Linked DNA regions of Drosophila melanogaster. The protein of the gene in region 1 purifies or fractionates together with the protein of each later gene. This does not show direct contact. Each region holds a gene or a part of one and is shown in the gene's direction. Other genes may lie near its edges.

Region 1 (16,200 bases):
AAAAATATATATATTTTCATTATATTTTGCAAAGTAAAAGTTTTGTATTATAATGTTTTTATTGGTTTTTATTTTATTTGTGGTTTTTTTTTTTTTTATTTGTGGTTGGCCAACCAAACAAAATGTATTATGAATTAAAAATTTTTAACCTATCTTTATGGACTATCTGTTTTTTATTTTTATTTCCTATAATTGTAATGTTGTCATTATCTCCTATTTCTGAAACTAAATATGGTCCTAAATAATTATTGTCAAGTTTATGACCCGTTTCGTTTTTAAGTAATATCTTATCTCCTATCTTTAATTCAAAGTTACTAATATTTCTATCATATTTTATCTTTCTATCGGCTTTTGCCTTGTCTAACATATTTTTAGCTCTTCTATATGCTATTTCTAATCGTAGCTTAACTTCTTTTGAATAGTCATCCATGTTGTAAATAGGATCTATTCTGTCTATCCTGTTAAAATCTATGAACTGTCTTGGTAATCTTCCAAATACTAATTCATATGGACAATATTCATGAACTACCGATGGTGTTGTGTTGAAACAATAAGTAAAATATTGTATCCATATATCCCAATCGGTTTTGTCAACAGATATATATGAGCGAACATACTCGTTGAAAGTTCTGTGACTTCGTTCTATTGTTCCTAATGTCTGGTGATGGTGTGCTGTTGAAGTAATGTTTTTTATCTTCATATATTTGCATAGGTCGTCTATAATTTGGTTTTTATATTCCGTTCCCATGTCCGTTATGATTGTTTTCATTGGACCGTACTTTAGAATAAAATTTTCGAATATAGCCTTAGCAACTGATTTTGCACTTTTATTTGGAATTGGTACCGTTACCAAATATTTTGTTAAATCGCAAATGATAGTAACAGCATACTCATTTCCGTTTTCTGATCTTGGCAGTGGACCAATGGTATCTATCAAAACTTTATCAAATGCTGTTGCTGGCGTTTCTGTTATTGTCAACGGTGTTTTAGTATGTTTTGTAGTCTTGGCTTGTTGACATTTTAAACATGTTTTAACATATTTACTTATTGCCTTTGTCATTTGTGGCCAATAATAATAGTTTTTTATTTTCCTCAGGGTTCTAGAAATTCCTGAATGGCCTCCTTCTGATGGATCATCATGATATTTAGACAGTATTGCTTTTATTTGAACCTTATCATTTTTATCTATCTTAGTCACCTTGTTTAATAGCGCTATTTTTAAATTTTTTAGTATTTTATTGCCCTTTTCTTTAAAATTCTTTATAGTGACAAATTCGAAGATTTGTTCACTTGGTGACAATTGTGTTTGAATGATGCTATTTATTCTTGCTTCTTCATTAAGCCTTTGAAAGAATTGATCTAAATCGATTATTTCATTAGAATAAAAATTAGTCATATCAAAACGTGTTATAATTTGTTTTCCTCTTTTCAACAAACACTTATGCTTGTCTATTTTGAGTATAACATATTTTTTGGCATCAATGTTATTGATTACCTGATAGATATTGGGCATTTTTATATTTTCTTTCTCATTTGGTTCATGCAATTTTTCACCTGCGCAGGTATTTTTCTGTCTTGTTGTTGATCTTGTTGTTACCTTTAGTATCTGTCTATTTATTGCTTTAAGTTCTCCGATTGTTATTCGGGACAATGCGTCTGCGACATGATTATCTTTCCCCTTGAGATATTCTACTGTGAATTCAAACTCCTCCAAGTCTAGTCTCATTCTGGTTAATTTTGAACTGGGGTTTCTCATTGAAAAAAGATATGATAGTGGCCTATGGTCACTTTGTACTAAGAAATGTCTACCATATACGTATGGTCTGAAGTGATTTATTGCCCAGTGAATAGCTGCTAGCTCCTGCTCTGTAGTGGACTTATTACTTTCGCCTTTTGTAAAGCTTCTTGAAGCGTATGCCACTGGTAGCTGTTGACCGTTATGGTCTTGAGATAGTACCGCTCCACATGCTTGTTTACTAGCATCTGTGGTTATGCAAAATTGTTTGCTGAAATCTGGGTACTGAAGGAGTGTTGGTTTCATTAATTCCCTTTTGAGATATTCGAATGCATCATTGCATTCGCTTGTCCATTCAAATGGAACATTCTTTTTACAAAGCCTCGTTAAGTGGCGTGATTTCTCAGAAAAGTTCTTAATAAATCTTCTGTAATAATTGCAAAATGCCACGAAGCGTCTAGCTTCGTCTGCGTTTACTGGTTTGGGGTAGTTCTTTATTACCTCATATTTAGAGTCATCTGGCAATATACCTTTGTCAGTACACTTGTGACCTAAATAAGTAACCTCTTTCATAAAGAAAGTGCATTTTTCTGGATGTAATTTTAAATTATGTTGCCTACATAATTTGAAAACGTCGGTTAGATTTTTAAGCATGTGCTTTTCAGAACAGCCTATGACTACTAAATCATCCATATACAGAAATGCTTGCGAAGGCGTTAAACCTGAAAATGCAAGGGTCATCATTCTTTGGAAAGAATTTGGGGCTATTTTTAAACCAAATGGTAATCGCGTGTAGCGGTATGCTCCCGTTGAAGTTGAGAATGATGTTATATTTCTTGACCTTTCGTCTAATTCTATTTGATGGAATCCTGACATCAGGTCTAGGCACGAGAAATATTTTGCTCGGCCTAATTGATCAAGAATATCTTCTATTCTTGGAAGTGGGAATTTATCTGCTAGCAGTTTCTTGTTTATTTGGCGATAATCGACTACTAATCGCCATCTCTTTTCCTCCGAGTTAGGCAGTGATTTCTTGGGTACCAAGAGAAGAGGGCTATTATATTCTGAAATAGATGGTTCGACAATGCCATCTTTTATTAATTTGTCAACTTGCCTTTGAATTTCTGGTTTTTGACTTTCTGGCATTCTATAGTTTTTGATATAGACTGGAGTTTTGTCATTTAATCTCAATTTTTGCTTGTAAAAATTATTAGCTGATATGGTTTCTGTTTCAAGACCAAAAATATCGCTATATTCGGTGCATAATTTTGTTAAATCGCTTTTGAATAACGATGGAAATTTAAGAAGTTTTAATACTTCTGAAGTTCTTTGTGCACTATTTTCTATATTTGCGTTGTATACATCATAATCATCCAATGATTCGCTTTTTATATTTGCGCTACTAACTATAGCGTCTTTTTCAGTTGTATTAATAATTCGAATCAAGACGTTCTGAGTGTTTACGAGTGCACTTGCGATTATTATGCCAGGTTGTAATTCCTGGTTGGGGATGAGGACATGTGTGTCAGTAGATGTTAGTTGAATCTTTCGAATCACTTCTGATCTAGCTGGCAAAATTATTTCATTATCTAGTGAATGTATAATAGGAATGTTTATGTTCCTGAAATTTTTGGGCCTCAAAGTGAACCAATCTTCTTGGTCGTGGAATTCCAAAATACAATTGTATTTCTTAATGAAATCCAAGCCAATTATACCATCCCCTGGTATAGGAAAATTGTCAGGTACGATATGGAATTCATATGGTATTGCTGCATTAGCAATACACATTTCTAAATGTAGTGTACCTAGAGACTGAATTGTCCCTTGCCCTATTCCTGATATATTTGTTGTATTTTTTGGATTTAAATCGTTAAGATTATTGTTTCTGCATTTAAGCAGGGAAATTTCTGCACCTGTATCTATTAAAAGAGTTACCCATGAATTGGTACTCATATTCTTCAATCGTATAAAAATGCTTAAATTGAGATTAATTTTGTATAATTTTATTGTAGATTGTCGCTCAAGGGGGTATGTTCGTTTTCCGATTGTATGTTTCGGACATTGTGGGCATGACTTGTTTTATAGTTATGGTTTTGGTTACCTCTTGAGTAACCTCCACCTCTATTATAATTTTGGTTACCACCTCGTCCTCTGTTTCCACCATGGTAACCACCTCTGCCTCTATAGTTGTTATTGTAGGAGTTATAATTTCCTCGGCCATTACCTCTGTTTTGGTAATTTCCTCGGTAATTATTACCTCGATAGTGTCCTCTATTATTATAGAATAATACACTATTTGAATTGCCGGTCATTTCTGTACTGCAGTGTATGTATTTTTCAATCACGCTATTCATCGTGTTGAAATTTCCAGCTTCCAATATGGTTTTGAGCTTATCGTGCCCACAGTTCTTGGTCATTGCAGATATGGCTTCCTTTGTAGCGAATTTGTCTGCATTGTTGGAATCTAAACCATCATCTATATAGGCTGCTTCGAGCAACCCACGTAGGTTTTCTATCTCCGTGGTATATTGCGCTGCAGTTTTGCCGCGCTGTTGTGTACTAAGTATTTTTGCTTTGATGACATCGGGCGATTCGCCTTTAACTGATGCTTTTAATAGATTTATTATACCGATAATGGTCTTTTCATTTTCAACTTTGTGTGATAATGGACCAAGTATCTTTGTCTTGATTACCTCAACCGCTAGCATCTCCTGATCTCCTTTTGTCAGATCTATTAGCCGGAGAGCCGTGAGGAATCTATTCAAGTTTAACTTTTTGCCGTCAAACTCAGGTATTGTGGACGAAATTTGTCGCACATATTCCCTTGCTGTTGCGGCAGAGTCTGTCATTTTGTCCGTTTCCTGTATTCTTATTCCTGTATTTGAATCTGAAAGTTCTTCTTCAAGTAATTCGGGTAATGTTATTACCGCTGGAATTGCAAGATCGTGGAGATCCTCTTCTTTTATTTCTATTTCTGATTCTCCTACACTTTCGATATCCTCACCGATCTCAGCCACTATAGGTGTGCTTAAAATCGTTGGGATTGTAATATTTAAGTTGTGTCTGTACTTGACGTTTAACAAGTTCTCACGGAACCTGTTTAGCAATTTTACTGCTTGTGATAAATGATTTTTTGTTAATCTTTTCCTTTCTCTGTAAATTAATTGGCGTGCTCCATTAAAGCATCTTACCAATATCTGCGCATGCTTGTTGAGAGTGTCTTGTTGCACTTCTCTATTTGGTGTCATGCATTTATAAGACTTGTCAAAAGTTGTTTTAATTTCTTTAAGCTCGTTTTGTATTTCTTGCCAGTCCATTTAAAGAATACTATGGATTTATCTATGCAATCGAACTTTATAAATTTTGGCCTCTCTCAAATAGGTTTCTTCAATAATCTTTTTTTTTTTTTCATTCTAGTTTTCTGATATTAAAAATAAAAATTTTAGATCATCTTAATTCAAAATACATTTTGGATGTTTTTTTTTTTTTTTTTTTAAATTTTATCCAAACTATTCTCTGCTTTGCCTATATAACGCCTCTTTATTATCTTGTTATGCTTAACATATAGCGTTAATATAAACTGAGCGACTGTTACGATCGTCATGATCAAAAGGAGTAACCACAGTGACTGAATGTCATCTGTATGGTCGACTATTTTTAAGTTATTGACCACATTGGCCGTATTATCTTTTGTCTGACTATCGTCAGATCCAAACCAACCCATTTTTGTATATTTTTATTTTTTTTTGTTTTATTTTTGGGTTTTGGTTTATTTTACTTTAAAAATATGTTGTTTTGATTTTTTTTTTTTTTTGTTCAATATAGTTACATTTTCCTACCTAGTTGGTGTATGGCTTTACGGGCCATTCTTCTCATCGGGCAGAAAAAGTTCCGCTCAATGTTACAATATTTTGTGTAATATTAATATGCAGCGCAGTGCATCGAGGGTGGTGTGCCACGCAGGGCAACAAAAAAAAATATTTTATTTTTCAGCTCCTATTTGCTTCACTCTGACCCTCCTTGCGTCAGCTGGACGTCGCCGGGGTTGGCACGCTGACACTCCCTCGATGACGTAATGAGCGGGCTGCTCACCACGTTGATGATGATTTCCTCATTTAGGGGTTATGTGGTGGAGCTGCAATGTCTGCACGTATGTTCACAATGCGGTGTGAACAGTGGTCCCTCGCAGTCGTTCGGGCATCTTTTCTTGAAAACAGGCAGGCTTTTCGGATTGGGAGTTGGAGTTTTGTTAATTGTTAACGATTTTATTTGATTTTCTGAGTGAGCGCGTGTGGTGGGGATTTTTTTCTTGAGATATTCGACACAGTGGTCTAGCTCAGCTTGTAGTTTTTGAGCTTTCGACCATTGGGGTGGTGGAGTGTTCGTATATAATAGCCACTTTATGTGCGCTATTCTCTTTTTTATATTATGTCGAACTCCGCCCCTGTTTTTTCCCATCACACTGACACTCTACTCACTCAGATCGCTTTTTTCTTCATAATTGCCGCCGTCTTGGTGGATGAGCATCGAAGTTGAAAATTATCACAAGCGGTTTCCTTTAGCTTCTGCTACAACTTATAACGATCCTTTGTCACGGTCGCCATGTAGTTAATTAGAATTCCAATACTTCTGATGTAGTTAATAAAGTCTCAAAACGCAGTTGGTCATTTTATCTTTATTTGGTTTTTATTAAGCGAGCGTACATTCCAGATCTATTCCTGATTTATAACTGATCTTAGTGTGGTCTACAGGCAGATCTCTTGTGACAGCCAAGTGCTGACACTAGCAAATTCTGCAATATGTAAGTATGTAGTTCATACTCGATAACCAATGGGAGTCGAGTGCGACCCCTAAAGGCGTACATGCTGAATTCGCATATTTAGTATTAGGGTGTATCTAAAGATCTACTAGGGTGACCCTAAGGAATTAGGGTGGTCCTAAGTTTACTTATTAGTCGACTTATTATTATGATTCATATTATAATTATTATTAATATTATTATTATTATTGTTATTATTATTGTTATTATGTTCGTATATACTACACTCCGCTGGATGTGGCCAATCGCAACAAACTGATCAAATGGCTGTGCAGATACCAGGCCAGCAATTGCAGGCCAAAGGTTAACGTTCAGTTCGTAACAGGTCATGAAGTACCATCGCCGGATTACCGGGAAACGTTCTATTGTGCCGCCAGTGGTGCCGATTACAACTCATACACCATGTTGTGGGGTCAGTATTATTTGGAAAATCGCACTAGCGAAAAGAATATGCTCTGGGCTGCAATCAGCTGCACGAGAGACTACGAAACCCATTACCACAAGATGATCATCTCTGGTACGGAAAGTGTTGAACAAAAGAAAATTGGTATCGCCCGTATGTACGAGGAGAATCCTGACTTGGTTCAGGCAATTTTCGAAATGATTACCGAAAACATTATGGAATTAGCGTATAAGTGAGTTATTTTTCATAATTTGATCATCTGAGAGTGTGGTTTGATTGTTTATTGAACACTTAACCTTGTCGCTTTTCAGCTTCCAGAGTTGGTCGGGACACGGCCGAGGTGATCAATGACATGGCGGAGTACTTCACCACCCGGGAGCAACAGCAGTTGCTCAAGGAATTCTACTACAGCAATCACCAGTTCTTCGGTGAATCGGAAGAGCTGCTCTCCAAGTCCCTGGTCACTGTGGAAAAAAACCTTAACTGGGCGGAAACCCATTTGGAAGGCTTAGTAAAATATCTGGCGGACAGAAATGGTAGCTCCTGCCTGGGAGCCACTTCCTTGGTGGTGGTTCTGCTTTTAGCAGTGGGCAGCATGTTGGCCTGGCCCTGATTAGCCAATAAGTTGTGAGGGAAATAAAGAGATTGCCGTGGTCGTGCGCCGCGGGAGAAATGCCCTTTTCGTGTACGCAATTACTAGGCAAAAAGGTTTGGACGGCCCTTGCTTTATTAGGCCATAATTTACGCTGTCGAGCGGCCATTAGAGCGGCATCCGCTGGCCAAGTTGGTCTATAAAAGCCCGGCGGCTGCAAGTGGCGTTTTCCATTCCACGTGAAAGGACACTCGCAGTCGGGCCGACGAGATGCTGCGCCACCTGCTCCGCCACGAGAACAACAAGGTCTTCGTCCTGATCCTGCTCTACTGCGTCCTGGTCAGCATTCTGAAACTCTGCACGGCACAGCCGGATAGCTCTGTGGCCGCCACGGATAATGGTATTTGATAAGGCATTTGATAATATCATATTATTCGCTCTAATGGATTCCATTTACCATCCAGATATTACGCATCTTGGCGACGATTGTCAGGTGACGCCCGTCATCCATGTGCTCCAGTATCCTGGATGTGTGCCCAAGCCGATTCCCTCGTTCGCCTGCGTGGGTCGCTGTGCCAGTTATATCCAGGTGGGTGTTGATATACTTGAAATATAAATTATAATTTGATATAATCTGATGACTTTAGGTTTCGGGCAGTAAGATCTGGCAAATGGAGCGTTCCTGCATGTGCTGCCAGGAGTCTGGTGAGCGGGAGGCAGCCGTCTCGCTATTCTGTCCCAAAGTGAAGCCCGGCGAGCGTAAATTCAAGAAGGTCCTGACCAAGGCGCCATTGGAGTGCATGTGTCGGCCATGCACTTCCATTGAGGAGTCTGGCATCATACCACAGGAAATTGCCGGCTATTCGGACGAGGGTCCACTCAACAATCACTTCCGGCGCATTGCTCTGCAATAGATTCCCCCATCAGTTTAGCACTCATACCCATGCCCATTTGCTCATTAAAATAAATTAGAGTTGCCGTTTCTGCTTGTACACAGTGAAAAATGTGCCTCTGAAAGCTCATGCCAGTGAAAGGGAAACATCAGCAGATATATGATTATTTTAAATTGTAATTTATTTCCCAACTATCTCATGTCATTGCTACTAGTTCACTAAATGGTGTGTGTCCTGCTTCACAGGGTATGTATGTAGATGCGTAACTCCAAAGAAAACAAAGATAATCTTTACACTGCAACTGGATCTAACAATAGGAGTTTAACTACGGCATAATGCATATGACTCGCGCCGCCTACAAGTACTCGACGATATCGCATTTGATGGATATATTCGGACAGCTCTGGCCCACGGCACTGCGGCCCCGATAGTTGGGACTCTTCTCGGTGAGGAGTTTCCGGAAGATGGGCAAAATTGCCGTCTCGCCCTCGAGCAGTTCCGTCTCGCTGCTGGCGCCGTAGATGCTGCTATCCTGCTTGCCGCGCTGCCTGCTCCGCTGCTTATCGGGCGCCACATTGGGCGAACTGTGGTGGTGGGCGGCGTGCTGGATGTTAGAGCTCCGGCTGACCTTACGCGGCTGGACGCACGGCTGACTGTTGGGCGGCGGATCTCGTTCCCGTTCGCTGTCCGTCTCGCTCTGGCAAACGGTGCCCTTTTGCGGTTTTGGCCGATGTTTGTTGCGGTTCTTCTCGGAGACGGACCGCTGGATGGGCGAGGTGGTGTTCGGGTCATAGGTCATCCCGTGGCCGCCATGATGTTCCGCACAGCGCTGCGGACTGGCGTAGTTCCGCGGCGACTGGCGCTGCTTGGCGTGCGACAGCGTGTGCGTGTCCCAGAGGTCACTCTGTGAAACCACGAAATTGGACTTCAGAGCGGAGCCCATGCTGGTGCGGCGATGGTCGGAGGCAGTGGGAGCTATTTTCGATTAGAAAATCGATAGTATTATAGTATTATAAGAGACGCGCAGAAAACTTACTCTTAATCACAGCCGGAGTACTGGGCTTTGAGTGTGGACACATGTTGCTCAACTCCGATTGCGATGTGGAGATGTTGGTGGAGGAGTTCCGGTGCGAGCTGCTGTACTTTGGCCGGGCGGTGGGCGTCTGGCTGCCACTGTCGTAGTGCCTGGAGGCGGTCGATTGACGCCTCTCCCGCATGCTGGAGCAGTCTCCTCCGCTCCGCTTGCCCGCCGTACTGGTGATGCTGCCTATATTATCATCGGTCTGAGCGGACACCGAGTTTCTCTTCTCCAGATGGCGATGATGATGCTGCTGCTGCTGCTGTTGCTGTTGCATCTGCTGGTGTTGCTGCTGCTGCAGGTGCTGCTGCTGCATCTGCTGATGTTGCTGTAAGTGCTGCTGCAGTTGCTGCTGGATGGGCTGCATCATAGTTGGAGCAGGGGCATGCGAGTGGTGCTCTACAATCGATTGCTTTTTCTTTTTGCTGTTGGAGAATATCCATAGATTAGAGTGTATTTAAGACCAAAATTTAAGAACTTACGGAGGAAGCGATGGCGCCATCACTGTAGACTGCACCGACACAAAGGAGTTATCCATCTCCACATGAGTCGAGGTCACACTATCCACGGACGTCATCTCGGTAACTTCTATGACAAACGGGTTGCAATGCATGAACATATCTACGAAATCCCCCTCCTTAGCCACTCACCTGTGGTGCTGGGCATCTCTCGACGCACCGGTGGAGCTGAGAGCCTAACAATGTCATCGTTCAGTATGGGCTCCAGTTCGCTACCGACGTTGGAGCCACCTGTGCAGGTCACCCCATCGATCCATTTGCGTGCCTCGGGTCCCAGCTTGCGGATTAAGGCCTGCAGCTCGTTCTCCTTCTCCATCAGCGCCTTTCGGAATCGGCAGTTTGTGTTCTTTACATCTCGCAATCGTTGCTCCAGTTCGCACACCGAGGAATCCCGGCGTCCGTTTTTGGACATGGGTCTCAACGTGGCCCTAACGCGTTTGTCCACCACGCCCTGGGGATTCCGCTTCAGCTCCACCAACTGCAAAACGATTCGCATGAATATTAACCAAAGATTATACTACGCGGTCAACATCTAGGAAGGATCAACTCTACGGACAGTAATATAGGATAGTTAAAGATATTCCAACAGCAAGGAAGTGGGATTTGCCTACAACCTTGCTGCTGCTCTTAGTGGGTTCTATATAGTTCAAGTTTATAGTTAGTCTGTAGTGTTATATAGCATTTTAAGATCTGTTTTCGAGTACATGTTGTTTCTGTATCAAGGTGTATCAACGCTAGACGAAAGATCAGCTCAGCTGGCGGTAAAGTACGATCAGTTAAGAAGCTCTAACCACAACTGATCGGCCTATTACCGCCGACAAACAACATTCATATTACACGATTATTATATGTAACATATAACAGCTACAAAAACTACAAAACTTCCTTACTACCAGTCTTACTTTCGGTACGAACACCAAACACAAAGTGGCTGTCGTACAAAAAATGATAAAAAACGAGAGTAAGACAAAAACTAAATCCTTTCGATCCGATAGCACCAGGGATATAGCCGCTCCGGCCAGACAAGTGATGAACACGTTATAAACGGAGAAACCAATATGCTTGGAATCGTTCAGAGCCGGTATAGAAACATGTCGAGTTTCCCAGGCCAAAAAGGCGCCAAAAACCTATTGAAAAAAATTATTGCTTTATTATAATGATATCTTACAAATTAATGTTTATTATATACTCACCAACAACAGTCCCTTGTAGGCATAAATAATGCTAACGAATATGGTCATGTGCTCAGACTGGCAGTACTCGTTTTCGGGGATCACCAAGACATCATCAATATTCTCGTGATGCTGTAGTTAATAATAATCATTTTAGATTTTTCACTTCAAATATGTTCTATCAATGCACTCACCAAGGGTTCCAACTGTTTAGTTTCGCGGTAAAAGGGATCGGCAATCTGCCAGGTGGTTATAATGGCTATATCAATGGCCAAAAGCACGCCCACAACCATAAACAATTGATAGTCCTTGATCACCTTCTTATTGAGCTTCAGATCGGTGAATATCGAATGCACCCGCCACGTCTTCGAGAACATGGCTCCAAAACTGAGACTGAATCCAGCCATCAAGATCCAGGCTCGAGCTGTGCAGATATAGGGAAAAGCTGCCACACTACTTAATGTGGTATCGAGACCCAGGAAAATGATGCTCAAATAGGTCATCATACAGCCCACAATGATCAGATTGTTCAAATGGGGACTGGACATCTTGATGTATCTATAAAAACATCAATATTTTATTAAACGAAATTGTTTAATATAGCATTGTTAAGCTCACCTTTGATTGCGATACTTAATGTTAAAGGCCAGAAAAACTGTGGCAATAATCACTCCAATGACCGAAGCACTAGCCGATACAATATATATGGTTGGATTGACCTGACTGTGCTCGATGTAGATCAAAGTGCGATCCTTGGGAGGAGTTTTCCCCACCCATTTGACTGGTTTTCCCAAGCTTAAATCCAAGTGTGACTTCTGTGAGTGGTATTCCCCGATCTTTTCCATTTGTCCCAGCTGAAACTGATTGATCAGGATGTTGGCCTTGCGCTCGTTGTTGTAGAAACGCACGGGTCCCTTGAGAATGTAAAATATGTTTTAACTGCAAAAACTGGATTGTTTATCTATCTACCGTCACACCCTCGAAGGATGTATTACGTAGAGCCTCAAGGAAGACACTCTCCCAGTCCTTCACGCGATAATCAAAATGTGTTAGCAGATCCTCTCGCTTTTCGGCCACATACTGAATGGCCAGGGCAGCTGCCCAGATACCATCGTAGGTATAGCCATGAAAGCGGGAATATTCAGTGCCTCGCAGTCTGTCGTACTCCACAAGATACTCATCAGCAGTCTAGTAAAATATGAAATTTATTACAAGAATTTTAATAGACTTTACTGGTACTAACAATGCCAGCCACTGTGATGTCACCACTGGTGGACAAGGGCAAAAGATCCACTAGAATGGCACCTTCCAAGGCTGTAGCGATCTCCTCCACACTGCACTCGCTGTCCTGCGTGACATTCCACCAATCCGTGGAATAGGTAGCCATGATCAGCCATTGATAGGCTCTGCCATACATATCCAATCTGGAAGGGAGTTTATTGCAATAATTTTAAATTGAGACTTAAGTTAGTATATCCAACTCACTTATAAGCCTCACAGAATGCCTTGCGTGCAAAGTGCTCGTTAAAGTTGCCCAGAATGATCCTCACGTCCTTCTCGCGCAGTTTCTTCAATGATTCAGCCACATCGTTGACGAAGCTCTGCGTTTCCACCACCTCGACCTCCATGGCATCCAGGTCAGCCACCATGTGATTGTGGGGCAGCGAATAGCGTGGCTCATTCTGGTAGACAGTGCCCACTCTGGTCCAATTGAACTCCTTCAGCAAGGCCAGTCGCGGCGCATTAAAGGCATTCTCCGAGGGTACCACGCGAAAGAAATTCGGAAACGCATCCTTGGTGAACATGGGATGGGTGTCCGCGTAGCTGAGCTGGGTGAGGTGCCAGTGCTTGCTGGCCTTGGCTATGGGATCGGTCACATGGGTGCACGCAGCGCCGAAGAGCATCACTTTATTGGGACCCGAATGCATCATATCGAAGAAGGACTTTACGCCCACAGCAGCATTGCACTGGAAAGGAAACCAAAATTACATTCCAGAATATATGGAAATATGCATAGGTAAAGGTGTGATATTACAATATGAACCAATGAACATTAAAAAAAATACCTAATTGAACTTTAAAAACCACAAGTCCATCATCAGAGATTCACTTAATGAAATCTTCAAGCTAAACCCTAACTCACCTGAGTGTCGTTCCACCACATGTGCAGCCTGTAGTTGGCCAGTATCTTTCCATGCTCATTAACGTGACCCAAGGCGAGCTTTACACTGGGCATAACGCCCCGACCGGTGTAGGAGTTTTCCACGCCATCCCCGTACGGGAAGAATCCCGCTATGTAGACGTCCGATCTCTTGGCTGTCCTGCCACAGGCGGTGCTCCAAAGGAGCAGGAACAGCAGGCTGGCGAATGGAAACCAACTTGGCCGGAACATGTTGACCGCGTGGGCTGTAAAACGATTCTAAATGTGAATAGCGCATATCGAGGACGTGAACTTGGAGCCAAGTTGTGGGTGGTGAATGGCAGTGGTTGGTTTCGGGTGAGCCAAGGCTGCCGAGGCAAGGCTGCGCCCAGTGGGTGTGTATTATTTTCTACGTTCTACCTGTGTTTGCTGGCACTCGCATGCAATTTTACAGGACAGGTGGAGCAAGGCTAAGGCCAGTCCAGGCCAGCAAAATTGCTTCAAATTGCTGCAGCAATGCTGGCACGTTTAGTAATTATAAAGCAATTTAATGATCTAAAGGATTCGTGCATTATTTAGTATGCTCGTTAACGCGAAGGAGTATCTTCCAGGTGTTGCATCCTCTTAAATCTTATGTGTACATGTTTTTAGGAACCTACCAGCTTGCTTAGTCCCAGAACTGGCTTTTATTTCACTACCGATGCCATTTGAAACACTTATTTTACATCAAATCTCAGCCAACGAAGAACTTTTGCAGTGCGAGGGTCCGAAAAATTATGTATCCCCCTGACTTGACATTTGTCTGACAGGAGGAATTCGAGGCAGGAAGTGCGCATGTCCTTAAACCGAAAGCTGTCACTGCTCCGCCTTGGCCTAGGCTTTCCAACCCCCGTAATTACCATAAACCCACTGCGCTTGTAAACATCCTGCAACAGGTGGTCCCATCAGCTGGTACTCCGGCAATTGTTGTGCCCGTTGCCATGGACTACTGGGGTCGAAAAACGAAGTAGATAACTGCTCGGAAAATTACCAAATTGAAAATTGTGAGTAACCATAATGGAGGACTATGCGCCCAGCCGCTATAAAATGCTTGAGAAAATCGGCGAAGGCGTCCATGGCTGCGTGTTTAAGGCCATCGATCTGCAGCGCAACAAGGAGGTGGCCATCAAGAAGGTGGCCCTTAAGAACAAGTTCGGAAACATAGCCCTAAATACTTTGAGGGAAATCAAGACCCTGCAGCTTTGCAAGTCTGAATATGTAGGTATACCATATATCTATTTTCCATTTGTTAATTATGTAACTAATTGTAGATTCTGGACATCATTGATATATATCCTGACCTAACTGGTCTCTCCTTGGTGCTGGAATACCAGCCGGACACTCTGTACAACCGCCTCAAGAGCGAGGTTAATCCCCTGAGCCGCCAGCAGGTGCGTAAGTTTGCACACCAAATGTTCAAGGGGATTGCATATCTGCATGAAGCGGGTCTCATGCACCGGGATATTAAACCCGCCAATCTGCTTATCAGCGATACAGATATGCTTAAGATTGCCGATTTCGGACTGGCCCGTCTGTACTTCCCTGAAGACGAGTCGCGCCTTTATTCGCCTCAGGTCTCAACCCGGTGGTATCGAGCGCCAGAGATTCTATTTGGCAGCCAGAAGTATGGAACCGGAGTGGATATGTGGGCGGCAGGTTAGCCATGACTCTTTGATGGGTTTACATATATCCTTATGGCTGACATTATTGCTATCCAGGTTGTGTTGTGGCGGAGATGCTACGCGGAGTGCCCCTGTTTGCGGGAACCACCGACATCGAGCAATTAGCCATCATCATTCGCACTCTGGGCAGCCCACGTCTGAATCAGTGGCCAGAGCTGACTTCTCTGCCGGATTACAGCAAGATACGGTAGGCATTCTTACCGTCTATGATTACTTAATCCGTAATATTCTTGACGTAGGTTTCCCAACTCCGTGGGCATTCACTGGGACAACTTGTTTCCCAGCTGCACACATGCGGTGGAAATCAATCTGGTCTCGAATCTGGTGGTCTACAATCCCAAAAACCGACTCAAGGCCAGCGAGGTGGGTTCTGCTTCAAGTTTGACACCGGTTAGGTATTATAATTGGTAAATTCTATATTTCTCAGGCCGTCGAGCATGATTATTTTCATTAATCTAGGACTATTTACACGGACATTGCTAGCAACTAAGAGTTTTCGGATTCTTTGAATCTGCAAGGTAGAATGTGTGTGATTAGTTGTGGAAGTGAAGGAATATGTTTATCAGGACACCTACTTGCACTTAAGGCAGGTAAAGAACACCGTCTGGCCTTCGTCCGCCGATCGAAGCTGCAGGGTGGCATAGGACATCTTGTCGTGGTTGCACTTGGGACACTTCCTCTCCACAACGGGGCCATCCGCGTCCGATTCCGACTCCCTTTTCGTCCTGTTGAACACCTTGCTGGGATCGTAGGTGTTGAAGTGTATGGTAAACTCGGACTTCTCGCCGCTGTAAACTATTTTTAAGTGTTAAATAAATTAAACAAAGTTGTAATTTCTGGATTTACCATCTGGCTGAAACTCCTTCTTGCAGTTGTAGCAAATCACATTGCCCTTGACTTGAAGCTCGGGCAGAATGGAGCCGCAGGAGGGGCAAAAGCCCGGACAATTGGAAAAAATATCCATGCCAGTATATATCACCCAAAATCAAAATCAAAATACAAAAACCGCACGTGCTATTTCGGATTTCAGTATGAGCGTAACTGAACCGTTTGAAATATACCACACGGTATTAAAAATATACTTGATTCATATACTAAATACGTAAGGGTGGAAAACTAGAATAAGTCT
Region 2 (15,829 bases), on another chromosome or scaffold:
CGGTCAGGATCATGGTTTCGAGCACGGACACGGTTACCATTGAGTTGACCCCTAAGCTATACAATTGTTTATCAATCGTTTATTGAACTCTTACCAAATACCTATTGTTGTTATACCAAAATAAATCAGGCAAATATTTTCAAAATTGAAATAATTATTTGATTTGAAATGGACAAGAAGTGTAACTAAAGTTTCCCTAAAACCTATTAAAATCGAATTATAAAGTTTCTATACTTACCAACGAACTATTAACTTAAAAAAGAAACAAATCACAGTAGATAGCTCTTTTCGATACATTTGGAATATTTAAACATTTCAAATTATTAGTGAAATTTTAGCATATTTAGCATATGGTGATTTATGAATTGAATAGGCAGGCATTCGCGACTCAACACCAAGACGAGAATCGCATAGACCGTAATTTGGGTCAGAATCAGTAATGTGCGACACGACAGGCGAGATATATCACAAATTCGATTATTATAAATCATATTTGTACAGTTTATCCATAAATTAGCCCGCATATCTATCTATTCGCTGGCTATTTCAGGTGGCTGAAACTTGTATTTTTTATGCAAGCATACACACATATTGTATATATGCGTGCACATGGCGATTTTTTATGGGCGATTTCTTTTCACTTCTAGTGGTGGCAATCGGGTTTTCGGAGTTGAAAGTCCTTTATTCATCCGCGCACACCCATAAATCAAATATATATATCTCCCTAGCATTCGCGAGTGCGTGTGTTTTTGTTTGTTTGTTGCTTTCCCCTCAGCCCGAGTTGGCTACAATTTGTTTAACAGACAGGCTCGGCACATCCTTGCGTTATCCTGTTGCCCTCGTTTGTTGCTGTATTACAAATGACTGTGGAATATTTATAAGCATCATAAATTTAATTTATGTCGCCGCTGCGCCCGCCGCGTTTATTGTGCGCATAATAAACGCTCCACAAAAATCCCTTCTCGACCCAACTCGACCGGGACTCCAGTTGCCTCTCGCTTCGTGTAATTTATTATTTTTATACGTTCCATGTGTTTGTGCGGCACGCACTTTCTACATTATGTAATATACGAGATATAGTGCGAAAATTGCAACAGCTATTACTTATATTTATTATGGCACTTTTTGCCGGATTTTTGTGCTTCTTGTGTTGCAAATAATGATTAATTGAGGTTCATTTTTTCATATTGAGAAGCTCAATTTGTAGGTCAGAAAAACAGAAATTATACTAATAATTTGTTAAATAAATCATTTGAGTAGATATGCGCAAATATTGTAAAAGAAGCTTTCAATTAAGAAATAATACGTTTAAAAATGCTTCATTTCAATAATGAAAATATTCCCAATCAAAATAAGTATCAGTATATTAAGATTATATATTATCTCATTGCGATTTCTGATTATAAAAAAGAAATTATCAACTGACATTTAAGGAAATTATGCGTTTTGTATTTTAATTTTCCTTAATCACGATCCTTAATCAATGCGATTCGACACTTAATGAGCTAAAGTGAAAAATTTACATGCCACCTAATGCAATTGAATCATAAATTTTGTTTCGGAAAAAATTAAATTGAAATTAATTAAGCTAAGCTTCAAGGGAATGTGAAGTCGCTGTTGGCACAGGTCGTAAATTCACTTGATTACGATTTATTTGAAATGAAATCAAAGCAATAAAAAACACAGTTGCCGAAACGCAAAACGGAATGAATTTTTAGAAAACCGAGAAACTAACCCCAAACGCGACGATCCATTTGCATTGCAAATTGCTTTGTCAAGTGAGTTTTGAGCTCTAAAGCGGACCATTCGCGCATAAAAATAAAGTAAATATATATTTTATGTTTCACTTGTCGTCGTTTAATGCCATAAAAATGGGTATGTGTCTTATTAACTGATGAGGCCGTCGTTTCGCCCAACCAAATATACATTCCCAAACCGGTATGGCACCAGCCAAGTCAAAATCCGTAAGCAGTGCGCTCCCAATCCCCATCCCATCCAATCGAATCCACTCCAATGCCCGTTACCTGACTTGGGCCATGGTGTCATTAATTTTGGAATCGTAAAGCCCACAATATGTCAAACGAGACCACACAGCGTCGTAAAATTCAATGTTTATGGGCAGCCTCTGATTTTCGGTATAGTATAGTAAGTTTGGCTTGATTTTTTTGTTTTTTTTTTGTTCAAGCTGAACTTGCTTCGGCTTTGGATTTCGAATTTGATTTTGATTTTCATTTTGGCTTCGGTTTGGGCTTTGAATTTGTTATCAAAAGTGTCGCGTCGCTTTTAATGGCTTTTGCTTTAGGTGGCTGACTGCCTTGTTGCGTGTTTCGGTTTTTTAAACGCTTGCCAGAAAATTAAGCGTAACTTATTTGTCAAGTTTCTGCTCGTTTTTTTTTTGGCCTCTTTGTGGAACATAAATAAGCTTGATTCGGTAGGAGATTGTGTGTCCAGTCAAATAAGCTACAAATGCCAAATCAATTAATGTCGTTTTATAAAGTGCTAACATGAGTAGTCCGTCTCGAAATAAATACATTTTAAATTCATTTGTGTGATGCATTTAACTGTAGTATTTTCAAAAATATTTTCTGTTAGAAGAAAACTATAATAACATAATAGAAAAGAGTTTCAATAAATATTCAGGATTTTTAAATATTAATATATCTGAATAGTTAATAAAATGTCATGTAAAATCCAAAAAACTGATTTTCCCAATTGCAATGTAGATTTCCACCGAAAGCTGCAGCATTTGGCCAATTGCATTGCCTATTTTTGCACACGCTTTGCGAAATATCAATAAATATTTTGCTAATTACACCGCAGAGTGATTATTTAAGCCGGCTATATGGGCTGCTGCTGCCGGTGTTTGTTGGCCGTCGGATTGTAACAGATGCCCCATGGCATCCATAATAATGTTAAATGCTTTATAATAACCATAAATGTTTGAAATGTATGTGCCAAATGGCTTTTGGTGGCACATCCAACCGCACACAGAAGTCGAGTCCAGTCCGTTCATATAACCAGTTCGAATCCAGCTGCGTCTCTCGACAGCCGGCACAGTGAGAGGTCCCTCGATTCCACTGAGTCGTGGTCGGACTTTTTGCCATGAAAATTGTTTATGGACATTTTTGTGTTGGCGCGGGGGTCAGTGGGTAGAGTGTTTCTGAATTTAACTGATTTTTAATGTGCGCGCCGAGACTGGTGGGCGTTGGCTAGATAGACAGAGGGAAACGGGCATAACTCTGGGTTCGACATATAACGCCATTCGGTATTAGCCAATTTGCGGCAGTTTATTGGTGGAAAACGGTTTGGCATGATTGGCTGCCGGTTTGCTTGCTGCCTGCAGTCTGCGCTGGCTACTGTTTAATAAACTCATTGATTTATGTCTAATTAAATTTGTTGGCCATATTAATTTATGCCAATTATCGCACATGCACATGCGCAATCAATTCAATTCCCCATTGGGTCAATGCTACATTTAAGCAACCAAATAAGCGCAGCAACTAAACGAATAGACGAACGGGTTGACCGTATATACTACATATATCAATGATTAATGATCAACAAATTGGGTTGACGGGTAAATGGAATTTTTTCTTTATTTCACCGGAGAAGCCTGACCATGAAAATTGAGAACCCGCAACGCCCCAAACTGTCAGTTATCCATCACGATTGATGGATGTGCTCGACGGTGGGGCAGTCTTTATTCCATTCCACGGCGAGAGAGTAGAAGCCACCATCCACTCATCGTCATTGTCCGTAACCATTATCCGCCACTCTAGCCCCGGGTACTCGACTCGACTCGACTATATATGAACATACATACATATACTCGCAACTCGTATCTCGTAAATCGTGCAAAATGATCCTCACTTCCCACCATATAGGCCCTCCCTTTGCGCCGATCGCCGGGGTGTTACCCACACATAGCCCAGCTGATTTGGCTGCCTTCGCTTATCCCGAATTGTAATCAAGTTAATAATAGGCTATGCGCACCTTAATGCTGATTAGGGGTTTTGTTTTAAAGCTTTGGATGGGGCAGGCAGATTGAATGTTCGGGCCTCATACGCACCATAATTATGCAGGGCAGTGTAGAGGTGGCTAACGGGCAAATCGTTGGAGCTGCTTACTTTCGCTTCACTATTTCTGCACTTGTAAAGTACTACTCCCAAATTGTTTATGTACAGGTAGTGAAAAACAGTTTTAAGTTATTTTCCTCGATTGAATTCCGATAGAAAATGAATGAATCCATTAGGAGCTAATTACTACAATATAACTGAGATTTCTGCTTAAGCTGCTTTGTTTTTCCCACTTTCCACCTTTTTTTTATATGACTAGCTTTATGTGGCTATCAAAATTAATTTCCAATATGATTGATACGTTTTGCAGGCACACAAAACCGCTTCCAAAGCAAAAATGACTTTGTCCAGCGGACAACTATAAATCATTGAGACAAAAATGTGAACACGCGGCACACATTAGTCAAAGAGGGCAAAGGCAGCCGAACCGAGCTGCTGGCCAAAAACGCATAAACATTTTACAGCGCAAACAATTAACTAAAAATAACATAAAAGAGTAGGCAGCACACGGCGAGACATGGGGCCAACTTGAAAATCTCGAAACTAAAAAAATGATTAATGAACGTCGCAATGGCCGTTTGGGAAAGTTACATAAATTAACACATGTCTTTACCATAATGAGTCAACAGCGATTTTGGCCAACTAAGAGCCACTTCAGACCGATTCACTCCCAGTCTCTAGTCATCAGACAGGCAGCCCCAAGGCTCCAAAGTCGGCTTAATTTAATTAATGTGTCTGCCCATAATCATTTTTCGAGTATGTTTCTACAGCTGGCGTTACGAGACACGGACAGTAAGTATTAATTCTAAATCAATTAGGCAAGGGCAAACCAATCAATTGGGGGAAATTAAAAAACTATTAGAAAAAATCCAGACATCGCATATATAAATGTTGCCAAGTATTTAACTATTTGAAAACCGCATTAGGCTTAGCATATAGCACTTTGAAGTTCTAATTCTATTATTTAATATATGAATATAATGGCGACACCCGCAAATCAGTCAAAATGCTGCATTTTTTACCACATATATTTGTTTTTCCTTGTCTGCGGACAACGAAATGAACGCACGGTGAACCAAAAAATAAGGGCAACTTTCTGGTCATGACAGGTTCCACAGGACTCGGCCAGACGGGGCACACACTCATAATTGTTGTATTTGTTGTTAACGGGAAACAAAAGGAGCAGCCGGTCCAAGTTCATTCAAATGGTTCGGTTGAGGGCCGAAACGCCACCGAATGCGGCAAAAAAAAATGTGTGGGGCTCATGTGGCCCCAGGACAAACAGTCAGGCACACCGAAGAGTATCCGTGTATCGGAAAGGAGGATGGGAGGATGGGAGGACGAGATGCCCAGGCAGACACTAATTCGATCTGATAATCATGGAGTTCTGCCAAAGGGCATGAATTGTAATTTCCTCTTTCGCGGAATTAACTGTCGGTCCCTGTCGCTTGGTCGGTTGGCTTTGTTGTTACGATGTTTTGCGATTTTTTTGTATTTATTTTTTTTTTAGCCTTTTCGAATCTGTTGAATTTGTTGTTTTTTCCTTTTGCACAAAGACACACGGGCTATCCATTGTTGGATGGTATTTATGTGTCATATTTATTCATTTAAAGCATTGCGCTTTTGTTTTACTGCTGCCGGTCGTGTGTCGCTTTGGATTTCATTCATGGACACGAAGCCTGCAGGATGTATTTTTTACCCTTGGTTATCCTTTGATGTCGGGACTTCTTAGGGAATGGCACTAATTTGAACATTGATCTGAGCTGCATTGGGGCAGCACCAATCTTTTAGGCTGGGCGGAACATACTAACTAATTTTTGTACACCATCATCCATTATTCAGCTTTTTAATAGGGAATTTGAATTAATTTTTATAATTAGAAGTATTTTCTTTTTAAGAATCACAATTGCAATATTGTCTAGAAATGTAAATAAGTCTTTATTTTTTTATAATTTTAATTGAAATCCTGAGTCAAACTTTGAGTTCCAGCATTGAGCGCAGCGGTTTTTCCGAGCAAACTACCATTTAGACTATTCGCAGACAGAAAAACAGGAAAAATAGGCAAAAATCCAGACAGTAAACCAAAAATTCAGAACAAAACTTTGCGCCATACGATAGATACACAAGCATGCATCCTTGTTTATGTATTCAAATACTCGTGTGTGTATACATATGTATATATGGAGAGACGGAACTGACTGAACAACAATTTCGCAAACGGAGGGTAAAAATAAAATCAGCATTTTTAGTAGTTAATTTAATTTATTGCAGCGTTTTTATGGTTGACTTTATTGCATAATAAAACATAATTTACTGCGCCATTGAGACTTTTTGCGTTTGCGTCGATGATTCTAAAGCGCAACCATCGACCATGGCCCACAGAGGAGTGAAGTGGAGAAAGGCGGTCGAGCCCACAGTGGGATTCAGATACAGATACAGCTACAGATACTGGGAGAGAGAATGTGGTTATTGCGAAATTGGGCGAGACAAAGACGATGCCAACAGGGGAGGGCCAACAGGGCCAAAAGCAGGCAATAACAGACACGAGAGGTGGAAAACTTCAGACAGATTGCAATTTCATTTTTTGTTTACGTGGCCGGAAAATTGCGGGAAAGCCCCTTGTATAGATTAAGGCTGAAAGTATTTGCCTCTTTATTGCTCACACCAATAAATTATTGTAATATAACCAATAGTATAAGCTAAGTGTAACGCAATCTGGCATTAAGTTATTAAATTTTCTGCAATCATTTTATATTTTTATTCCGTACTTATCGATTTGGTTTAACGTGTAAAAAATCGAATCGATACAGTCGACATCGTTACTTGTGGTCAAGTCGTTTGATTTAATTACCAATTAACGGAGCACAAAAGTGATGTGTAAATTGCCATGTCCTACCGCAACTTAAGCGACCGAATTTTCACCCGCTGGGCAGGACACAAACATTCCATCAGCCAGTCATTGACATATATCATGGAATCCAATCAGGTCCAGCCCTCTTCCGTATAAAAGAGCCTCCGGGTGAAGCGATTCCAAACAGTTGGGCGTTGGGAGTGGGTCAGCATGCATGTCCAGGAACTGCTCTTTGTGGCCGCGATCCTAGTGCCCCAATGCCTGAGGGCATTGCGATATAGCCAAGGCACTGGCGACGAGAACTGCGAGACTCTCAAGTCGGAGATCCACTTGATCAAGGAGGAGTTCGACGAGCTGGGCCGGATGCAGAGGACCTGCAATGCCGACGTCATCGTCAACAAATGCGAAGGATTGTGCAACAGTCAGGTGCAACCATCGGTGATAACGCCCACGGGGTTTCTGAAAGTAAGTTTGAATCCTGCCTCTATAGAGTTAGCGAACTCTAAGGTTCCATGTTTTCCAGGAGTGCTACTGCTGCCGCGAAAGCTTCCTCAAGGAAAAGGTCATCACTCTAACCCATTGCTATGACCCGGACGGCACCCGTTTGACCTCTCCGGAAATGGGAAGCATGGATATACGTCTTCGGGAGCCCACCGAGTGCAAGTGCTTCAAATGTGGCGATTTCACACGTTAATGCCTCAACATAAACTATGCTATTTGCATCCATTTGTTTTAGTTGCAGAGTGAAATATGTTTCATATATTTTCAAAACGAGCCCCACATTAAAAGTACCATTACTTAAAATCATGTATATTCTTAAATATTTCGAATTAATAAAGGAATAAGTGAAAGTCCCAGCTTTTTCAGTTAAATAAATACATATATCTTTAATGTCTATTCTAATATAACCATTAAATTAAATTAATACAAAATTAGTTTCTATATTGAACTTTCCACTTTTTCGCCCTTATTTAACTTATGCTTAAAATGGATCTTCGTGTGTGTTTGAATAACAACATTAGACTGATAGCTGCTCATGATTAAAGTGTCTGTTGTTTCATGCATTATTGTTTGCTACATTGATATGCAGTAAGCCAAAGGCTAACAAACATCTGTTTGATTGAAAATACAGTACACATTTCGCTGAGAGGCACTTGCTATACTCCATGAATGCATGAACTTTGATTTTCCCAAAAATATGCAATGCAATCCTGAATCGGAAAATGTTTGACATATCACTGGAGGCCAAAAATTGATTGCAACCAAAATGGAATACATCACTCGTCCTCTGACAGGCATTTGCAATGGCCAGGGAAATGGCAACGAGCATATTGACTTTTTGGCCCAGCCTGGCTACCAAATTAACTCATTTAGTCAGAGGGTCCGGCGCACTCGCAATTGCCATATTTATGTTGGCATCTGTGCGGCACATGATGCCTAACCACCCGGAAACTCGTCTCGCAAACATAATAATCAAGCATAAACTGCACTTAAGATGAAAACCGCTTTCTGGTTGTTAATTTTCATCATTATTTTCCCTATTCCTCCTGTTTTATTATATTTTATTTTAGACATGCGAGTACCCAGCTGAATTGATTAAAGCCACCAGAGATGGGGCAACATCGACTAATTGTAAATTGGAGCTTGGCTTGGAACGGAACACGCTCGGTTCGGGGCTACATTATAATTTCATGTTCACAAGCACATTTGCACGCACTGTAATTTACTTAAGCATTTTTCCACAGCTCCCCATATACTTACTACCCAGCTGAATGTGATCTCCACCGGTCGGTACTGAGTTGCCGCCTTTCGTTCGTGTGTGCGAAACTCATAATTTAGTTGACACGCCCATTAACATCGGACCGCAGTGATCTTCCAGAGCTGCTGAGCTCCATATACCCATCCAAGATTTGTCCAAGGGGGAACGGTGGATCAAGAGGGGGGTTCCTGGGTGGCATCGCGCGTCAGTGGCTCCATCAACAGCAACGTGCCGACACAATATAAATTATATATTTATATTTATAACATACATCGAGCAAGATTTCTCGGCAAATCTTGCATCCCGGATGGAGTCACGTAGAACCGGTGAGCGAAAAACTACCTGCGATCAGATGATCATTCAAAACTTTTAACATTTCATTAGGGTAATCAAATTAAACAGTCTATAAGCGAACGGGTTTCCACAACAACACAATTACTGGTCCATTGCAGGTGCTGAATAACTCATTTAGCTTCAATCGCGGATCACCTGGAAAGTGTGCATCGATTTGAGTCATTAACTTAAGAACGAGTGGGAAAGATACTTTGAACTAAAATGGGATATTAAAATTTCAAGATAAAAACAGGTTCCTGTACTGTGTGGTTTACTCAGAGGGCTCTTAAAAAGAAATTAAAACTTTTGGAAGACTTTGCGCAGATTATTAAAATCGATCGCTAAATACACCAATAAATTTCACTCACAGGCCACATTTATGAGCCAAATCGAACGCATGCATCGTGTTAAATAAATTGCTGCATATTTATAAGTTATAAATTAAGCGCTGGCCACGAAAGGCAGGCAAGTTGCTATATTCTTCCGAGTCACTTTGATGATAATTAATGAATGTTAATTAATAACAAATTTGAAGATCACAAAAAAGGGGGGACAAAAAAATATAAACATTTACTTGAATGCTACTTTATTGTTATTGTTGCTGCTGCTGCTGGTGGTGGTTATCGCTTATACAATATCTAACATACTTTTTGTGTTAAAACGCGTTAATATTGGCAATTAATTTTCATCATTTCGAATTCTTTATTTCTTCTCCATTCGCATTTGCATAAAAACGCAATTAATTTGATTGTTTGTCATTCGGTGAAATATATTTCTGTTTGTTTTTAATGAAAGCTCAAGGCGAAATGTAAACAACAAAGATTTTGTCGAACGGAAAAATGCTTTTAGTGTCAAGACACACTGCCGTATTAGCTCTCAGCCCTCAAACACAATCAGCCCACATTAATGGCCAAAAGACAAGAAGGCGTGACATCATTGATTGGCTTTATCTTCAAAGGTATTTCTGTTGCTTTTTTTTTTCAAAAATCTCTTTGTTTGCCTATGGTATTATACGTGTGGAAGCTAACAAGAAGATCGCTTCGCTTTCTGATTGAAATTTATGTTGTGTTTATTATAACTATAGTTTAGCCTAATGCCATTCGACATATCTGGACAATACCATATCGAATATTTTATGGATTTAGCTCAACTAATTAATAAGTCTGTGGAACACAAGAGAAGGAGTTGATTAGGTATTTTTTGCGTATATCGATTAAATTATTACTATAGGAAAATGTATTCTCATCTCGCCTTATTCGTAGCTTAAATTCTGTGTTGCAACATGTGCATCCATGCCATTAATAACAGCTAGCCTAAATCCTTAATTTTTCCTTCATTTAGAGTATTCAGGAAGCAGCATTGTGGCAGCTTCCGCCCAAAACTTCGCATATATCATATTTCAGTTAGAAGCGGCAGAAATTCAGAGTGCTGTGAGCTAGGGTGGACCAACTGCGAGGTGCAAGGGGTCACCTGTCAGAGAGCAAAAGCCCAGCGGAGCGCAAAGCGTTTTTGCATTTTGCATTAAATTTATGATTTTTACAGCTGACATTTGTTTTCGGGCGCCTTTTTCCTCCTTGCAGCAACTGTGTGACTCTGTGTTGCTCCGCCACCAGCCGCATGTGCGTAGGGCATAACATGTAACAAGGCAACAGCAACAACAACAATCCGGGCACGACAGCAACATATTTTTTCCGACTAGCAACTGCAACTGAATCAGCATAGGCGCCACAAGTGGAAAGGAAGAACGACTTAATAAATGCTCTAACCATAAGAACGTAAAACATCTTTTACATTTTCGGAAAAAATCTTAACAGAGGAAATGTTTTTTTATTTTATAACTTAAGTTTATTAACTATTAATTTAGTTCGTTTTTAATATTTGATAACTTTAATAACACCAAGATATTTACAAATATTTATATTTAATATTTAACAAGCCTTTGAAGACAAAAACCAACTGTAAGTAGTATTTCACCAGAATTTGGAAAACATGTAAGTACTCTCAGTAAGGGCATTACAAAAAACAGAGGTAGCAGCAGCTGTCATAAGATAAAAATTTGCCCGCGCCTGCATATTGCATATGCAACTGCAACCGTTGCAGGTTGCCAGTTGCTGGGCAGGGACGAGCGCGTAGTGGGCCAACAGGGGCAACATGCAACATATTCTAATGCGTTGCGACATCAAGTGACAGCAACGGCGACAGTTGCTGTTGCCGCATGAGAGGCGGCGACAGGCGACAGCAGAAAAGATGAAGAGAGCACCAACAGCAGCGGCAAAAAGTGTACATGTGAAAAGCGAACTGCATTTTCCCGGGCATGCAAATGAACTGCAATTATGATAAACGCCGCCAGTTGACCGGATGTGGCCAACTGAAGGAAAACTGGCCCAAGACCGGGACACCTTTTGCATCGCAAAGATTGCGCAATTATAATAATGGGCAATAAACATTAGATGCTTAGAGATTGCAAAGAAAAGGAAATTGAAATGCTTAGCAGCTTGCAGAACATGGTGTACATAAGTTCGTGATGTATTAAAAATACAATGTTTTTCTTTAATTTATTTTAATTAACTATAAAGATTTGAGGTTTCTAACAGCTAACGTAGTCAGGGTTGTCCTGTATAAACGGAATTCAATCTATAGACACAGCTTAGTTACATTATTTTGCTTTAAGCTTTTTCGCCCCTTTTGAAAACAAATTCTGAAAGTAAAGTATATTAAATTGAAGGCTGCATATGTTGCCTGCTGGACTATGGCTTTTAGATTTTTTCATTTCCCAACCGTTTTTGTGTGTGTTGCACACAGTTCTACATGAAGAAAGCAAAGCCCCTTTGGCACATTACTCATACGCCCCAGTGGGCAAATTTATGAACTCACCAGCGCACTTGAGGCCACGACAAACGAGCATGAAAAAAAAACACAAAACCCTACAAACACACACTCCTGACATCCATGTACAAACACTGGGTAAGTGCGTTTGTATGTTTATTGGAGAGCAAAGTATAAGTACGGGGCTAGTAAAGCAGCTTGTAAAATATGCCAGGGGTTAAAAAAGAGTGCAGCACATAATTCATACACATATACAACGGGAAAGTCGCCCGGAAAATGTGGCCAAAGGGTAAAAAGATGAAAAGCATAGGAGAAAGCGTGGCAAGGGGTAAAGCTCAACTGCAATCGAGCAACGGGTAAGTAGATGCAGCCGAGGACTGCAGCATCTCTTAAGAGGGTACAGCATACAAATGGCAGCACTGCGGATAATTACATATGCATTTTAGTTTATTATTATTGCTTTCAACAAAGAAATACATTAATATTGATGAACTACTTTTAAACGTTTTAATAAAACAAATGCTTACACATTTAGTATAGCGAGTTCTACAAAAGCGATGGGGTTTTTATTTGAAGCAAAACATTGCATACTTATAGATACCTTTTGAAAGACTAGTAAATATATAGTCAAATAGTAATGAGGAAGTTTTTCCAAGCCCATTGTCACATCTCAAATTATTCCCGAGACATCCCGCAAACTAACAAGCACTCAACCACTTTGGTGACCATTTTGTGTTACTAAAAGGGCTTTTCCGGTCACATGTGCCGCCTCCTCGTCCTGTAAGCCGCATAAATGAACTGCTAAAATGCTAACAAAAGCCCGAAACGGAAACGACCCCCGCACCGTGAAAAACGCACCCCCGCTTATTTGTCTGTTGGGGATATTCGCTTGGGCGCGGCAGACAAACGCGTACGAAAAAAAAAAAGGATATGGGCAAACCCGGCTCTCTATTATAATTTCCCTTTTTTCAGTTCGCTTGTGTGGTTTGTAATGTGTTGTGGCCACAAAATACTGTTAGCCACTTAATTTTGTGGTTTACCCAGAGAGCGAAAACGACATATACTTTTTGTGTGGTTAATTGAAACTCGATTGTTTTGTGTTAAACCAGAAATGAGTCTATTAAGTCCGAAAACGAAACTAAAACCATATTGTGAAACAAAAGGAAGCTATAAAACGTTTGACTCTGTCCGCCATTAAAGTGGCATCTAAATAAACATTTTATGGTTTTTGAAAGGCGAAACTTTCAAAAGCTTCTTAATGAACACGACAAAAATCCACAATGGACGGGGGCATTTTATGAGAGCATCACCAAAAATGCTCCAAGAAGGCGTGGAGCAGCAGTGGCAGCTGTCAATATATGGCCGAAATATGTAAATTATTGATTGTTAATTCAAAGCGCCACGATTAGTATAATTGTGTATTTCTCTTTCAAATCCTAAACATTTTAATGCCATAAAGTTAGAGCAGCATTTCGCCTTTTGAATATTTAACCAATTGCGTGGTCTTGGTTGTGTTTTTACGACCATTTTTGCTTTTTACGATGATGCGGACCCAATAGAGCAATTTAACCAGAGATTATGACTCCTATATTTGATTTCTTAAATTGCCCTAACGTGGGAGCTATGATTTAGATATTAAACTGCATATGTACATATTAAGCATTAAGAGAAATTTAATCGGCAAACTTGAATTACAAATTTGTTTTTTTTTTATTAACATTTTTTAATGTTAAAGATGTTACGATATTACTTTCGAACATTCCATTCTTATTGCATTTATAGCATCTAAGTGAGAAACTAAAATTGATTTCAGTGTGCAAAATGAGGGATAAGTTCGTCTCAGACATTTCCCGTCATCATGTGCAACCCGAGATTTTCATTTTCGCCAGCTGTTTTCTGTTTACAGTGGGGAAAACTCTCTCTGCGAAGTGAGGGAAATACACCAAATCGTGTTCTCTCCACGGAAATGGTTCTCTCGTTTGGTGCTCTAAATCATATTTCCTCGGCTTGCAGTTTTTAACACATTCCCCAACCCCTCCTCACACACACTCTCACACTGGCACACCAACGAGCGCCACACACACGCCCACCTGCTCGTAAACAATTATGGCCGACGCCGTTCCGCTCTCCACACGCACACAGGCGCCATGGCTGCACACACATGTGTGGAAATAAATTCCCCACAAAACACTGTGAAACAACAACAACAGCAACAAAATTACCCAAAATGGCTACACAGAAGCGGCGATCGTCCAATGAGCGTGTTGGTGTCGGTGTGCCCAGCGTTGTGTGTGTTGTGTTGGCTCTATTTTTAATTTCCAATATTTTATTTACACATTTCTAGAATTTTTTAGCTTTGTACTCAATGATAGCGCGCAAAGAAAAACTTTCCAACTGGGCGTATACGCAATATTTAAAACTTATTGCTTGATCTAAGTGTGAACTTACTTGTGCTCAGAATTACAAATTTCCAAAAATCTTTCCCTACTATGTGTATAATAAATGTTTAAGATTTTATTTAATAATATTAAAAAATCCTTATAATTCTTGGTACATAAGTATAATATAAAAAAATGTTTCTTAAACAACCGGGTACCGTGATTACCCTTCATTTTATTTATCAAATTTAAAGCGGAAATATACATTTTCAAAAATATCCAGAAATTTCCGTTACTTCCCATCGTCAACACTGCTTCTCCGTCACATAGTATCCGTCTACTACTAACCGCCAATTCTACTACGCTTTTTGGCTCTCAGCTCCCACGCGAAATTCGCTGCCTCAGCAAAAAGCATGCGCGCTCAGCAAAGAGCGCAGAACTAAAAACGTTTGCTCTCGTGCCCCAACTACTTCGCTCTTTCGCTCTCGCGCCCTAAGAAAAAGGGGAGCGCATGGCCTCGGACAACAACAAAAGCACACTTGTTGAAAACGAAAACGGCCACAAACAACAAAGAGCGAACTGGTTTTCAAGCGAGCGCGAAACTACTGAGAGAGCCGATTGGAGAGTGGGGGTGATACGAAAAGAGCGAAAAGGAGCGTGCACGTCATGTTGTTTATAGATTTTTAGTCGAATTTCGTTATTTCACGTTTAAAGTTCGTACGTGCGCTGAACGGACGGACTGCTACGACCGGAGTGTTGTGTTGTGAGTGCGAAAGCGTAAAATCGGCCAGGCGGATACATATGCACTTCCCCCAAACGCAAAAAAAAAAAAATTTTCAAAATATATACGAGAAAGTCAACACAATCGCCTATTTTTTAAGTCGTTTTCGAGTGATCCTTGTGCTTTATCAAAATTAGACTGAGTTTAAAACAAAGTATACATGTGAAACAAAATTAGCTCAGTAAATAGCAAACTTTTGGATAACCCCACGTTCCCGGAACCATCTAATAACGTACGTGCCTCATCATAAAACGCGCCCTCAACGAGGCATTCGAGCGAAACCACTAACCAAAAACGGCCAAGCCAAAGAAATAAATAAAGTACATACATACCTATGTATATCTAACAAAAGGAAAACCCATAAATGAATACATTGTAAAAGCCCATGCGTGAATCAAACGTAAATATTGTAGATGCAAGCCAGCAAAGAAAGTAGTGTGTAAATTCTTTTTTACACACATATGTATCGTGTACACATATAAATAATAAATACCGCTGAGGCAATTATAATACTTAATGAATTTATTGCACAATTAAAGCGAAGCCAGCATATCACAACAACAAATTAATATGCCGCTGGCGTGAAAGTCACAACTCGACGCATGAGAAATCCCCCCTGCGCCACAGCACTGAATTATTAATGAAATCGAATTACAAACAAAGCCCAGCAAGCATCAGCAATAACGATTGCGAATCGAAATCGGAATAAATAATAAAAAGAGGAAAAATAAAAAATAAACACAATAATAAATTATCATAAATAAGTACTCACATCAACGAGAACCGCGAAACGTGGACGGCTTAATCAGCGAAAAGTCAGGCAGC

What was found.
Region 2: the proteins of Burs (region 1) and Pburs fractionate together in Drosophila melanogaster (co-fractionation; 2 studies listed by BioGRID). This does not show direct contact.

The regions. Positions count from the first base shown.
Region 1 is NT_033777.3:21,761,732-21,777,931, forward strand, and holds Burs (bursicon), read left to right. Parts: upstream 1-7,786; 5' UTR 7,787-7,819; coding exon 7,820-7,949; intron 7,950-8,013; coding exon 8,014-8,138; intron 8,139-8,196; coding exon 8,197-8,463; 3' UTR 8,464-8,548; downstream 8,549-16,200. Other genes in the region: GABA-B-R2 (metabotropic GABA-B receptor subtype 2), read right to left, coding at 8,798-9,417, 9,479-9,945, 10,003-10,105, 10,171-10,516, 10,929-11,165, 11,232-11,342, 11,405-11,768, 11,829-12,124 and 4 more; CG6800 (uncharacterized protein), read left to right, coding at 14,407-14,607, 14,661-15,045, 15,108-15,258, 15,311-15,482; Polr1H (RNA polymerase I subunit H), read right to left, coding at 15,558-15,582, 15,647-15,866, 15,918-16,035. UniProt on the Drosophila melanogaster protein: Final heterodimeric neurohormone released at the end of the molting cycle, involved in the sclerotization (tanning) of the insect cuticle, melanization and wing spreading. Heterodimer specifically activates the G protein-coupled receptor rk.
Region 2 is NT_033779.5:14,408,627-14,424,455, reverse strand, and holds Pburs (partner of bursicon), read left to right. Parts: upstream 1-7,124; 5' UTR 7,125-7,137; coding exon 7,138-7,392; intron 7,393-7,450; coding exon 7,451-7,621; 3' UTR 7,622-7,727; downstream 7,728-15,829. Other genes in the region: Cpr35B (cuticular protein 35B), read left to right, coding at 1-43.